Sus scrofa: one gene and its partners. The protein of the gene in region 3 purifies or fractionates together with the protein of the main gene of each other region. This does not show direct contact. Links are inferred from orthologs where the notes say so. Each region holds a gene or a part of one and is shown on either strand. Other genes may lie near its edges.

The links.
Region 1: the proteins of CDC42 (region 3) and IQGAP3 purify together in Homo sapiens (affinity purification with mass spectrometry; 4 studies listed by BioGRID and IntAct, with this or other methods). This does not show direct contact. The link is inferred for Sus scrofa from reciprocal best matches to the Homo sapiens genes CDC42 and IQGAP3.
Region 2: the proteins of CDC42 (region 3) and MAP3K11 purify together in Homo sapiens (affinity purification with western blotting; 3 studies listed by BioGRID and IntAct, with this or other methods). This does not show direct contact. The link is inferred for Sus scrofa from reciprocal best matches to the Homo sapiens genes CDC42 and MAP3K11.

The regions. Positions count from the first base shown.
Region 1 is NC_010446.5:93,510,982-93,514,726, reverse strand, and holds the start of IQGAP3 (ras GTPase-activating-like protein IQGAP3), read right to left. Parts: upstream 2,495-3,745; 5' UTR 1,649-2,494; coding exon 1,429-1,648; intron 1-1,428.
Region 2 is NC_010444.4:6,638,997-6,642,741, forward strand, and holds the start of MAP3K11 (mitogen-activated protein kinase kinase kinase 11), read left to right. Parts: upstream 1-1,064; 5' UTR 1,065-1,254; intron 1,255-1,979; 5' UTR 1,980-2,535; coding exon 2,536-3,277; intron 3,278-3,745. Other genes in the region: PCNX3 (pecanex-like protein 3), read right to left, coding at 266-418. UniProt on the Homo sapiens protein: Activates the JUN N-terminal pathway. Required for serum-stimulated cell proliferation and for mitogen and cytokine activation of MAPK14 (p38), MAPK3 (ERK) and MAPK8 (JNK1) through phosphorylation and activation of MAP2K4/MKK4 and MAP2K7/MKK7.
Region 3 is NC_010448.4:80,033,873-80,037,617, forward strand, and holds the start of CDC42 (cell division control protein 42 homolog), read left to right. Parts: upstream 1-1,162; 5' UTR 1,163-1,278; intron 1,279-3,745. UniProt on the Homo sapiens protein: Plasma membrane-associated small GTPase which cycles between an active GTP-bound and an inactive GDP-bound state. In active state binds to a variety of effector proteins to regulate cellular responses. Involved in epithelial cell polarization processes.

The DNA of each region.
Region 1 (3,745 bases), on a different chromosome or scaffold from region 3:
CAACGAGGAATCCAAGCCATGTCTGTGACCTACACCACAGGTCATGGCAACACCAGATCCTTAACCCACTGAGTGAGGCCAGGGATCAAACCCGAATCCTCATGGATGCTAGTAGGGTTTGTTAACCACTGAGCCATGACAGGAACATTTTTTTGGGGGGCCACAGCCTCCTTTTATCTTTTCCCTTCTCTTCTTCCCTATCTCTCTAGTCTCCTTAGGGAAGACAGTACAAAATCAGAAAAAATGAGAGAAAGCTACACATATACACCAAGAAAATAAAGTCAGAGAGCTTAAAAAGAGAGCTTAGTAAATCTGTCTTTGACTCAGCACTAAATGTCGTTCCCACTCATTATCTCTTTTGTATTACATATCCTGCAATATGATTTGGGAGAGGGGCAGGGCTTATTTGAAGTGGCAGTTAAGCAAATTAAAAGACACACACATACACACACCCTCCACGTTCAGATTTGAAAGCACTGGCCAATCGCAGGAAATCCATTGGTTCCTTTAAGGGGGTGTAAAGGAACAAGTGTTGGTTGCTAAGCATGGAAAATAAACCAGTAAGTGAGTGACATCATCTCAGAGTTATGAATTGAGCACTGTGAGAGATGGGCAGGACTTTACACACACACACACACACACACACACACACACACGCGCGCACAGAGTCTTAAAAAAAAAAAATCAGTTTTCCTGCCCTTTTCAGGTCTGGAACCAGCTTTCCTTCAACAGATAGGTGGACGTGGCCTTTGCTTTTTGTACCCTAACGGAGAGGACGGGAAAGGGGTAGAAGAAGAGCTCAATTTTGCTTTTCTTTCAGGTCAGATGATAACCTTTCTGCAGTCCCATTTTTCCGACCCCAATCTCTCTTTCTAAAGCAGTGCTTTTGAAAGCGTGGTACACAGACACACAGTTACCTGGGGTGATCGGAAAAGCGCAGCGGGGCTTGCTATAAATGCACATTATAGGTCCCAGTAGAGACCAACTGTTGCTAAAGCTCTGGGATAAGATTCAGGAATCTGCGTTTTAAATTAACTCCACAGGTAATTCTGACACCATAAAGCTTTGAGAGGCATTGTCTCAAAGAGGCATCAAAAAGTCAAGGAAGGCCCCTAGGTCTTGTTGGGCGACCCGTTCCTCGGTAGCACTTGGCAAGTTATGGAGCCCCAGAATCTGGGGATAAGGGGAAAAGCTCTTTGTAAGCTCTGAAGTGCGGCACAGAAGTGGGAGCATTTCGTAAACAGCTCACAGCTTTACCCCCGCCCGCACGAGTCCGCACTGAGCGCTCCCACCCCACCCAGCACAGTCCGGTCTTTCCTGGCCTGACGGCCCCCCTGCCCCGCCCCCGCCCCACCCTCTCCCAGGACCACCGAGTCCCCGAGGAGCAGCACCACTGCTGGGCCCTTCTCGGCCCCTTCTGGCACTCACAGACCGCCCGGCCCGGGCCCGCTCCTCTCCCCTCCATGTTCCTTCTTCCAGGTTTGAATCTCCCGCCGCCGGGCCACCGCCCCTCACCGTAGCCACAGGCGAACAGGACACTTCCGGTCTGCGCCGCCGGGGCTCCTGGGATTTGTAGTTCCAGGCTGCGGAGGTGTGCTGCCAGGTGAGGGAAAGGGTGCCGCCCGAGGCTGGGAGGGTCTCTCCCCATCCTGCCGTACTTTGGTTGCTGTTTCTCTTCGCTGCTAAACTGTCTTACTTCAATTAGCCCCTGCCCCTGCCTCTATCGTTTCCTCCTAATATTCCCATTAACCCCTCTCGGCTTCCTGTAGTATTCTTTGGTGCAGGTAACCTGAGGACCTACTTATTGCTATGCACTGAACTGGGTGTTGCCAATGGAGAGATAAATAAGCACAATCAATGCCTTAAAGAAGCTTGTGGTTCTGTAATGAGCGATAAACATATAGTCAAATAATTTAGAGGTCAGTGATACACAGAGGGAAATTATTGCCGTGATTAAGAGCAGTGAAAGACAGGAAGACTTCCTAGTGGAGGTGACAGCTGATCTGGGTTGAAAAGTTAACAAGAATTCATCCGATTGAAGGAGGGAGGGATCTTAGTCAGTGGAAACAGCATGGGCAAGAGCAAGGAGGAAACTGGGGCTTAGAAACGTCAAACAGCTAAAAATCGGTAGAGCTACAATTCAAACTCTCAGATAATCCAGTTCCAAGCTTGAGTTCTTAATCATAATATGCTGTACTTCCAAGGCCCCGGTCATGTGACTGCGGAGGAAAGGGTACAATGGAGAGAGGTTTCAGAGGTAGAATCAGTAGGACTGGGAGCTGGAGGACAGGGGGTTCATGGATATTTCTCAGGTCTCTAGCATAGAGACTGGATTAGTGGCTTATCAAGTAACAGTGGATACACAGGATGGGTAGATTTGAGGAAATAGGAATTTCACTTGGCAAGCTAAATCTAGAGATATACATTTAGAAACTATTGGCTCATTAGCGGTGTTAAAAATCAAGGAAAGAGTTATTGGTGGCTCAGTGGTAACAAACCTGACTAGTATCCATGAGGACTCGGGTTCGATCCCTGGCCTCGCTCAATGGGTGGGTTAAGGATCCGGCATTGCTGTGAGCTGTGGTGTAGCTTGCAGATGTGGCTCGGATCTGGCATTGCTGTGGCTGTGACGTAGGCCGGCAGCTGTAGCTCTGCTTGGACCCCTAGCCTGGGAACCTCCATATGCTGCGGGTGCAGCCCTAAAAACAAACAAACAAAAAAGGCACAGTGGGTTTTGGAAGCCAAGTGTGGAAAGAGTGGCAAAGATATGTAAGATACCAGCAGGGAATCAAACAAGGAAAGTGATTCAGAAATGATCACTAGATCATTGTGGCCATTAGAACCTCAGTGAAAGCAGATTCAGTCCCTGCCCCCTCTGCAAATGATCCTCACCCCTTAGGGGAGGCTGCTCAGTGAACAGCAGACTGAGCTGCATATTTGGCTCTGGCTATGCTGTGGTAGCATCCCAAAGGCCCAGCCCTTGGGCAAGAGCAGCAGGCAGCTAGGAGAACCTGCCTCGGGCATGGGCGCTGACTGTGGTGTGTGCACCATGTCTGCCAACAGCAGGCCCTTAGCAGAGGCTGCCCGGCAAATGCTGTGAGCCCAACTACTTCCTTATAATTTTATTTCTGGCCCTGGCCTCTCTACTTAAAAGAGCCCTTTCTCCTAGATAAATGAGGACATTTTTTTTTCTGATGCAGGCCACCCTTGGTGAGGTAGGGCAGTGGGTGCCTGTTCTCTTGGTGCCTGCTGTCCTCTCATTAAGCCGAACCTGGAGGCTGCAGATCAGTGGAGCTGGGAAAAGGAGTCCGGGGGCAGAGAGGCTCTTCTGATCTCCAGGCCTTTCCTGACCATCAACCTTTCACCCTGTTCCCACATGTGAAACTACCACCCAGAAGCACAATGTGTGTGTGTGGGGGGGGGGCGCAGGTTTCACTTCTGGAACACCCCAAGCCTCATTAAAGCTTGCAGTCATAGTTAATGGAAGGGACCTTAGGCTAGTTAGCCCAGAATCAGAAAACCTGGGCTCTAATCCCAGCTACGTGACTGTTTTTTGACCTCAGGCAAGTCACGTCTGCTCTCAGAGGTCCCTTCCTCTGTGAAATAAGAGAAAGGGATAGATGGTCTTTGAAGCTATAACTAGTAACAAGCCCTTGCTGCTTTGATTCTTGCTTGAAGTGAAGGACTTGAGGCCTGTGTCTGCACGGGTGGAGAGAGGGGAGGCGAGAAGGGCAATGGAATCCAG
Region 2 (3,745 bases), on a different chromosome or scaffold from region 3:
CATCACGCCTGCCGGCTGCTAATACAAAGACCCTGCGAGGCAGCCCTATCTCCAGCATAACTGGAATGAGATTAAGTGAGATTCAAGGTCACCCAGGCCAGGGAAATTCTGGCCTCTCTTCCACACACTCCAGACTCCGCAGTGAATCCTCTTCCCACACCCCAGCGCCCCAGCCACAGCCCAGAATCCCTGCCAGGTTGCACCCCTTCGTGACATCTGCCCTCCCTTTCCCCGGCACGAGTTACAGGTGGCCGCAGCATCTCACCATATACAGCAAGAAAGGAAAGGTGAGCAGGAAGATCCAGACATAGAGATGGAAGCAGTTGGAGAAGGTGCTCTGGTGTGGGTCGAAGAACCAACCGCCGGTGAGCGAGGCCCACACCCCCTGGCGCAGGATCTGCAACACCTGCGACCCCATGGCCCCGCCGCTGCTGCGCGCGCCCCCCTCCCGGGACCCTCATGGGGGCGGCCCCCGGCCCATGCCCCGCCTGGCGCCCGAGGGCCCCGGGGCCCAACCTCGCGCTCACGCCATGGCCTCCCCCAGCGGGGGAGAGGGGTCGGTGGGGCGAGGGTGCGGGCAGGGGGCGGGGCCGGCCAGGGCAGTCAGTGGTGCGAGACCCAAGAGCCGGGGTGGAGCCGCATCAGGGGTGGGGTCCAGGCCCCCACCCCCGGCCCAGAACTGCTCCTAAGGGCCGGACCGGCGGGCAGGCGCAGGGCACGGGCCGGGCACCGGTCGGCGGCATCCAGAGGTGGGCGTGGGGTGGGTGCTCCGGGGGTGCAGACGACGGCTCCCACGGTTCCGGCCCGGGGAGAGCCCCGGGACCCTGAGGTCCACTTCCGGGGTCACAGGTCACTCGCTTTGGGCTCCGCGGTCGCCCCGCTTCTGCGGGAGCCGACCCAAGGGGGAGGCCGGAAGAAGGAGCCGCGAGCCGCCAACCTGCAGTGGCGCATGCGCCCGACGAGACCAGTTGGGACCCGGAAAAGGAAAACCTTTCGGCTCGAATGCGCAAGCGCAGGGAGGTGGTGGACCGATAAGAAGCGGGAGAGCCCGCTGGGCTTGCGCAGCTGAGGAAGGGACGATCCAAAAGGCACAAGTCCTTGAGCGCATGCGCACACCTAAGCGATGCCAACCTAGCCGCGATCACTGGGCGGAACGCGAGGGAAGAGTTACTAGAGGCGAGGAAAAGGATGGAGGCGTGGACACCCCTGGGGGCTAAAGCCACAGTTGTGCGCTACTGGAGCAAGCCCCTCTAGGTGCGCCCTTTTTAGCGCTGGACGTCAAACGTCACGAGCGGCCTCTACTTCCGGGTCAGAGCTCAAACTCAGAGTGTAGAGAGAACAGGCAGGACTAGTCGAAATAGGATAGTGTCGTTTTTCTTAAAGTGACAGGCTCAAGGCAAGGGGGTCCGTCGCGCGGTTGCGAGAGCGATTTAGCTATTCCAAGTGCCATCACTGGACAAATTTCAGGAGCACAGTCTCAGGTTTCCATCCCTTCTTGGGAAAGAGGCATGAATTGTTTCCCAGGTGAAGGGAAGCAGTAAATCTTAGACAACGCGTTCCAAGAGCTCCAAGTGCAGCCAGTTTCGTCCTCCATTCTTGCCTACCCCCACTGCCAGCTCTGCAAAGCGGAGCTCCTGGCCCCAGTTTCAGACATGAAGAGAATGAAGCGCAGAGAAAGGGTCACACGGCCCTGCAACTTCGGAGCCAAGACCACACTCGGGTTTGCCCCTCTTCCAAGCCAGGATCTTTCCCCCAGTTTTACAGATGCAGACGTAGAGGGCGGGGACGGTCCCTCCTTAGCAGAAACCAACCTCGACCTTAAACCTGTTGTCACGGGAGGTGGGGGCTACGGGCTACACTTCCTCTCCTTCTGCCTCTCATTGCCCGCCTACCCGGTAACTCCCAGACCAAATCGCCCTGCAGCCTCTGGGAGGGGAGCGGTGCTACCCGCCCGCGTCATCTGATGCTGTTTCCTGCAGGAGAGAGAACAGCGGAAAAAAGTGAAACTCCACCCTCCACCTCTGCCTCCCGCCCCCGGGGCCAAAGTACAAAGGGAGGAGGAAGAAGGGAACGGGGTTGGAGCCATCGGGTCGCGAGAGCTGAGCCAGGAAGAGGCAGCTCAACCTAGAGACACTCCAGCCACCCCCCTGCGCAGAGACCCAACGGGAGTCCAGGCACTGCCCCTCGCTGGCCCCACCTTTCACTTGGCGGGTGCTGGAGCTCGGCTCCCAGGACTGCTCTGGACTGAGGGACGCCCGGGCCCCTCTGTGCCGGCCATGGTGAGACATCGGAGGCCCTGGGGGTCCACCCCCCCAGCCTGACCACACTGCTTCCCTAGGTCGCCCTCCTCCGGAAGCCCGAGATGCGGTGGGCCGGGAGGCGACACTCCTGGCTCCCCAGAGAGGCGTGGGTCTGGGGCTGAGGGCCAGGGCTCGGATGCCCAGGTTCCGGGACTAGGGCCTCGGCCGTCAGCAAGGGTGGGGACCGGGGCACCCAGGGAAGGTCCCCCACACCCGCCAGTGCCAGCTCCCAGCTATGGAGCCCTTGAAGAACCTCTTCCTCAAGAGCCCCCTGGGGTCATGGAACAGCAGTGGCAATGGGGGCAGCGGGGGCAGTGGCAGCGGAGGTTGGCCAGAGGGGTCCCCGAAGGCTGCAGCTTATGCCAACCCTGTGTGGACAGCCCTGTTTGACTACGAGCCCAATGGGCAGGACGAGTTGGCCCTGCGGAAGGGCGACCGAGTGGAGGTGCTGTCCCGGGATGCAGCTATCTCGGGTGACGAGGGCTGGTGGGCGGGCCAGGTAGGTGGCCAGGTGGGCATCTTTCCGTCCAACTATGTGTCTCGGGGCGGTGGTCCCCCCCCCTGCGAGATGGCCAGCTTCCAGGAGCTGCGGCTGGAGGAGGTGATTGGCATCGGTGGCTTCGGCAAGGTCTACCGTGGCAGCTGGCGGGGTGAGCTTGTGGCCGTGAAGGCAGCTCGCCAGGACCCCGATGAGGACATCAGCGTGACAGCTGAGAGCGTGCGACAGGAGGCTCGGCTTTTCGCCATGCTGGCACACCCCAACATCATTGCCCTCAAGGCCGTGTGCCTGGAGGAGCCCAACCTGTGCCTGGTGATGGAGTATGCTGCCGGTGGGCCCCTGAGCCGTGCCCTGGCTGGGCGGCGCGTGCCCCCCCATGTGCTCGTCAACTGGGCTGTGCAGATTGCCCGTGGAATGCACTACCTGCACTGCGAGGCCCTGGTGCCTGTCATCCACCGAGACCTCAAGTCCAACAACAGTGAGTTCGGGGGAGCGTGGCCGGAGGGTGGCATGGCCCAAGCAGACAGCTGCTGCCGGCTCTTAGCTGAGCCGACCCAGGGGTTTCCTAGAAGTGGCAGCTCCTGCCCAGGATTGTCTCAGGTCCCTGGGGGGACCCGTAGGCTCACATCAGTGCCAAAGCAGGAACCCCAGGCACCCAACAGAGCCCCAGCAGGAGTCCCTAACCCCAGCTCACAGCTGCCAAGTTAAAAAATGGGAATCTCGGAGTTCTTGGCGGCTCAGTGGATCAGGGATCTGGCATTGCCAGGGCTATGTCTCTGGCGACAGCCGTGGCCCGGGTTCGATCCCTGGCCTGGGAACTTCCACACACCACGGTCTCTCGGGCGGACCATAAGCAACCTGCCTACCATACATGGCCACTAGCTCAGGGGAGGCGAGTCCTGGGCGCTGGCACCCCTCATCTTCAGGGAACTCTCTTGAGGTTCAC
Region 3 (3,745 bases):
GGCTCTGGTGTAGGCTGGCGGTTACAGCTCCAATTAGATCCCTAGCCTGGGAACCTCCACATGCGGTGGGAGCGGCCCAAAAAATGGCAAAAAAAAAAAAAAAAAGACCAAAAAATAAAATAAAATAAAATGAAACATTCGAAACAATAAAAAAAAAGTCCGAAGGGAAATATGACTATTAAAAATATTGTAAATAGATGTCTTTCTTGGCCAAATAACTGTGGCAGTCATCAATAAATGAATTATTGTAGTTCCCCTCGTAGCTCAGAGGAAACTAATCTGAGTAGTATCCATCCATGAGGATGCAGGTTCTATCCCTGGCCTTGCTCAGTGGGCTAAGGATCTGGCGTTGCCTTAAGCTGTGGTGTAAGTTGCAGACAAGGCTTGGATCCCGGGTTGCTATGGCTGTGGTGTAGGCCAGCAGCTACAGCTTCAATTTGACCCCTAGCCTAGGAACCTCCATAGGCCAGGGGTGCAGCCCTAAAAAGAAAAAAATAAAGAACTATTATTTAAGATAAGCTATTTTCCTCTAACACTAGGCACCATCTGAGAAAAGACCGAGAAGGCTCCTATTCTGAAGTGTGCACACTGGCAAGGAAGACGGATGACAAACAGGTGCTGTGAGGATAGGATGATCAGGAAGGCAGTGACATTTGAAGGCAGAGGGCCAACGGAAGGACTGGTGAAGAGGAGGCAGCCAGGGGAAATTGTGAATCTGAGGCCTTGTTGTGGGGAGGAAGTCTCTAAACCAATTGATGACGGATGTCGCTGGAACGAGAGACAGTAGGGTGGAAGCAGTGAAGCGAGCACTCAGCTCTCAAGCCATACGGGCCGGGGGAGTCAGAGGGCCATCCACTTGCATTGTGGTCACAAGTCATGCCCCTTTTCGAGTAGCCGCTGTCTTCTTTGCAAAATCAGGATGATGATACTTTGCAAAAGTGCAAAGATCAAAAGAAATGTTAGTTGTGGTGCTTTGCAAACGACCATTTATAGCATTATTACAAATATATGACAGCCACTGGAGAAACAGTTACAAGCGCAACACACGAAAGAGCAAGCAGGACCGCCTGGCGCGTGCGCGCTAGGCTGCCTGAACCTGGGGAGCGGATGAATTCAAGCCCCGCCCGGAACAGCTCGGCCTCTTTTCGCCTCGGATCCCTCCCACTTCCGCGGGCTCCCAACGCTGCGTCGTCTGCGTGCTGACGTCAGGCGCGTGCCCCTGTCCGCAGCTGAGGAGACCCCGCGCATTGCTGCCAACGCCCCGGCTGAGGAGCTGAGGTGAGTGCGGGGTCCTAGGCTCCCCGCGGGAGCGGGTTCCCCACCGTCCCGTTTCCGCTGCGCCGCGCCCGGCCTTTCCCAGTCCACGGGGACGCCCCGCGTCTGGGTTCCTGGGAAGCTTGGGAGCGCGGGGCGTGGAGTGTGTGTGTGTGTGGGGGGGGGGGGGGTGCCCGGCTCGCGCAGCGCCGTTCGGGCGAACGCGGGTCCGGGTTCTGTCCGAGGACGGAGGCGAGGAAGTCGCGGCGGGCAAGGCGGGGGGCGCACGTCGGCCGAGAGGTGTGCGGCCCTGCTGTGGGGTGCCGGGCCGAGGGCGCGGCCGTGCTGTCACCCGGCAGCGGCGGAAGGAAGGGGTCACACCCATCCCGGCCGCCCGGCTCCCCTCCCCCCGGCCCTGCGGACCCCTGAGGCGGACGGCGGGCCCGGGCGCCGGGAGCTGCGGAGACGCTCGCGGGCGCCCGGGCTGCCCGGGGTGGCGGTGGCCCGGGCTCCCAGGCCGGGTCTGCCCCCGCGCCCCGGCCTCGACTTCCTGCTTCGCCCGGCGCGGCCGCAGACATTTTGCGGCGGGCGGGGGGGAGGGGAGCGGATTGCGAGCGCGGCCGGGAAGTGGCGGCCGGGAGCGGGCGGCTAGCTGACCGCCCCGGGTTTGCCTGCGACGCGCCTCCCTCCGCGGTCCCGCAGCTGGACGCCTGGTCCCACTGGGTGGGCCTGGTCGCCGCTTCTCCGGTCTCCTTTATTCCTGCCTTAGGTCGAGTTCCTGATGCCGTTTCCGTTTGCTTCTCCAACTCTCTCCCTGCGTTTTCAGCTGAAGCTTCCCTTTCAGGGAGTTACCTAACCACCTCCCGAAACTGTCGTTCAGCCTTTTGCCCAGTTCCTCTCATTAGGGGGAAAATTTCTTTGTTCGTTTGTGTTTTTCCTCCCCTTTAATCCCAGAGAAATGCAGTGTGGAAGATTACGTCATCGCAATATAAGGGGTGAGAGTTTTTAACTCCTACAAGTCAGGGACTCACTAAATTAAGACAGCATTTTGTAGCCTTGGTTGGGTCACCCATTGGCCTAGCCAACCTGTTTCCCAACGCATCAGAGATGATCTTTTGAAATCCTGGCCGTCTCATATGCATCTGAAAGCCAGGAGGGTTTAAAATCTCCGGATCAACTTGTGCCAGAGAATAAAACGTAAGACAACACCTTCTGCAGCCGCTTGCGTAGGCAGTAACTTTAAAGATCCCTTTGACTGTACCCGAATGAGATGAATTTATTTGTGGAAGCATTTCTTTGGTCTAAGATGCAATTCACAGACTGTTTAACTTCTCCCATATGAATTACCGATTCGGAATATGTACCTAAGTCAACTCATGTGCACTTTTTGTGGTAAGGGTGTGTGAAAAGAGAATCAGTTCTATTTACGCTTAATCTTTGCTTGGTAGTCAGTTTAATTTTGTAATTAAAAATGTTTTGGATTTTTAACCAAATAAACTTAAGTGAGTAATATTTTCAGACTTGGGATCACAGAATGTTAGGTACATCCTAAATTGTATATCCTTCATTGACTGCAGGGTAGTGTAATACAGAAAAATGTTAGCATTGTAAAGCAAATGAGATCCAGTTGTGTAATGCATTGTTGTAAAGATAGTTCATGTTGGAACAAGCGCTTTCCTATTGTTTCTCGTTTGTATAGAGAGAACAGATTGCTTGTTAAGAAACACTTAAAAGTGGTAGGTTTACATCAGCTTTCTGTAGTGTGTAGGTGTTGGTAGATGATTGGATAGGTGTGGAGCTTGGATCTTCTAAAATATATTTATTTGCCATAATGTATCTTTTTAAGAAGATAAAAATGGAACACTTACCTGCTGCCATATTTCTTGAGTCTTAATTTTTTTAGATTGAGGCAAGGTGATAAGAGACTGGTAATTAACTGTGTATTAAAAATGAGCTCTTCCTCAGTAATTTCTTCCAAGACCCAAAAGATAGCACGTTCTTAAAATGTTTTCACATAATAACAACATCTGTACTCAGTTAAATTTAAATTTTTGGGAATCTGAGGCAGGTGTTACAGCCTAGCTTAAATATCAGCGAGATTCTTAAAGCCCACCAAGCCCACATCTTGACTTTTTTGTGACTTCAAGTTTTTTTTTTTTTTTTTTTTTTTTTAAATTCGGGTACTTTTTCCACTTACGGTTTATTAGAGAAGCATTTCTGGTTGTTTTTAAAATAGTTATACTAATAAAATATTTTGATCTAAGAGGTTGCATTTGGAAAACTTTGAATTACAGTTTGCTGTGCCTGTCTGAAAGTAGTATTTACAGACATTCTTGGAAGTAGAAGTCAAACTATACTTTTATTTTTAAATACATTTTAAGTGCATTTATTGTTTTTGAGAGGACAAGGAATGCTTAATGAACATTTCAGGCTACAGGGCTTTGAAGGGAAAGAAGGTGTTAATATTTTGTTAACTTTTGTTCCATAGGTA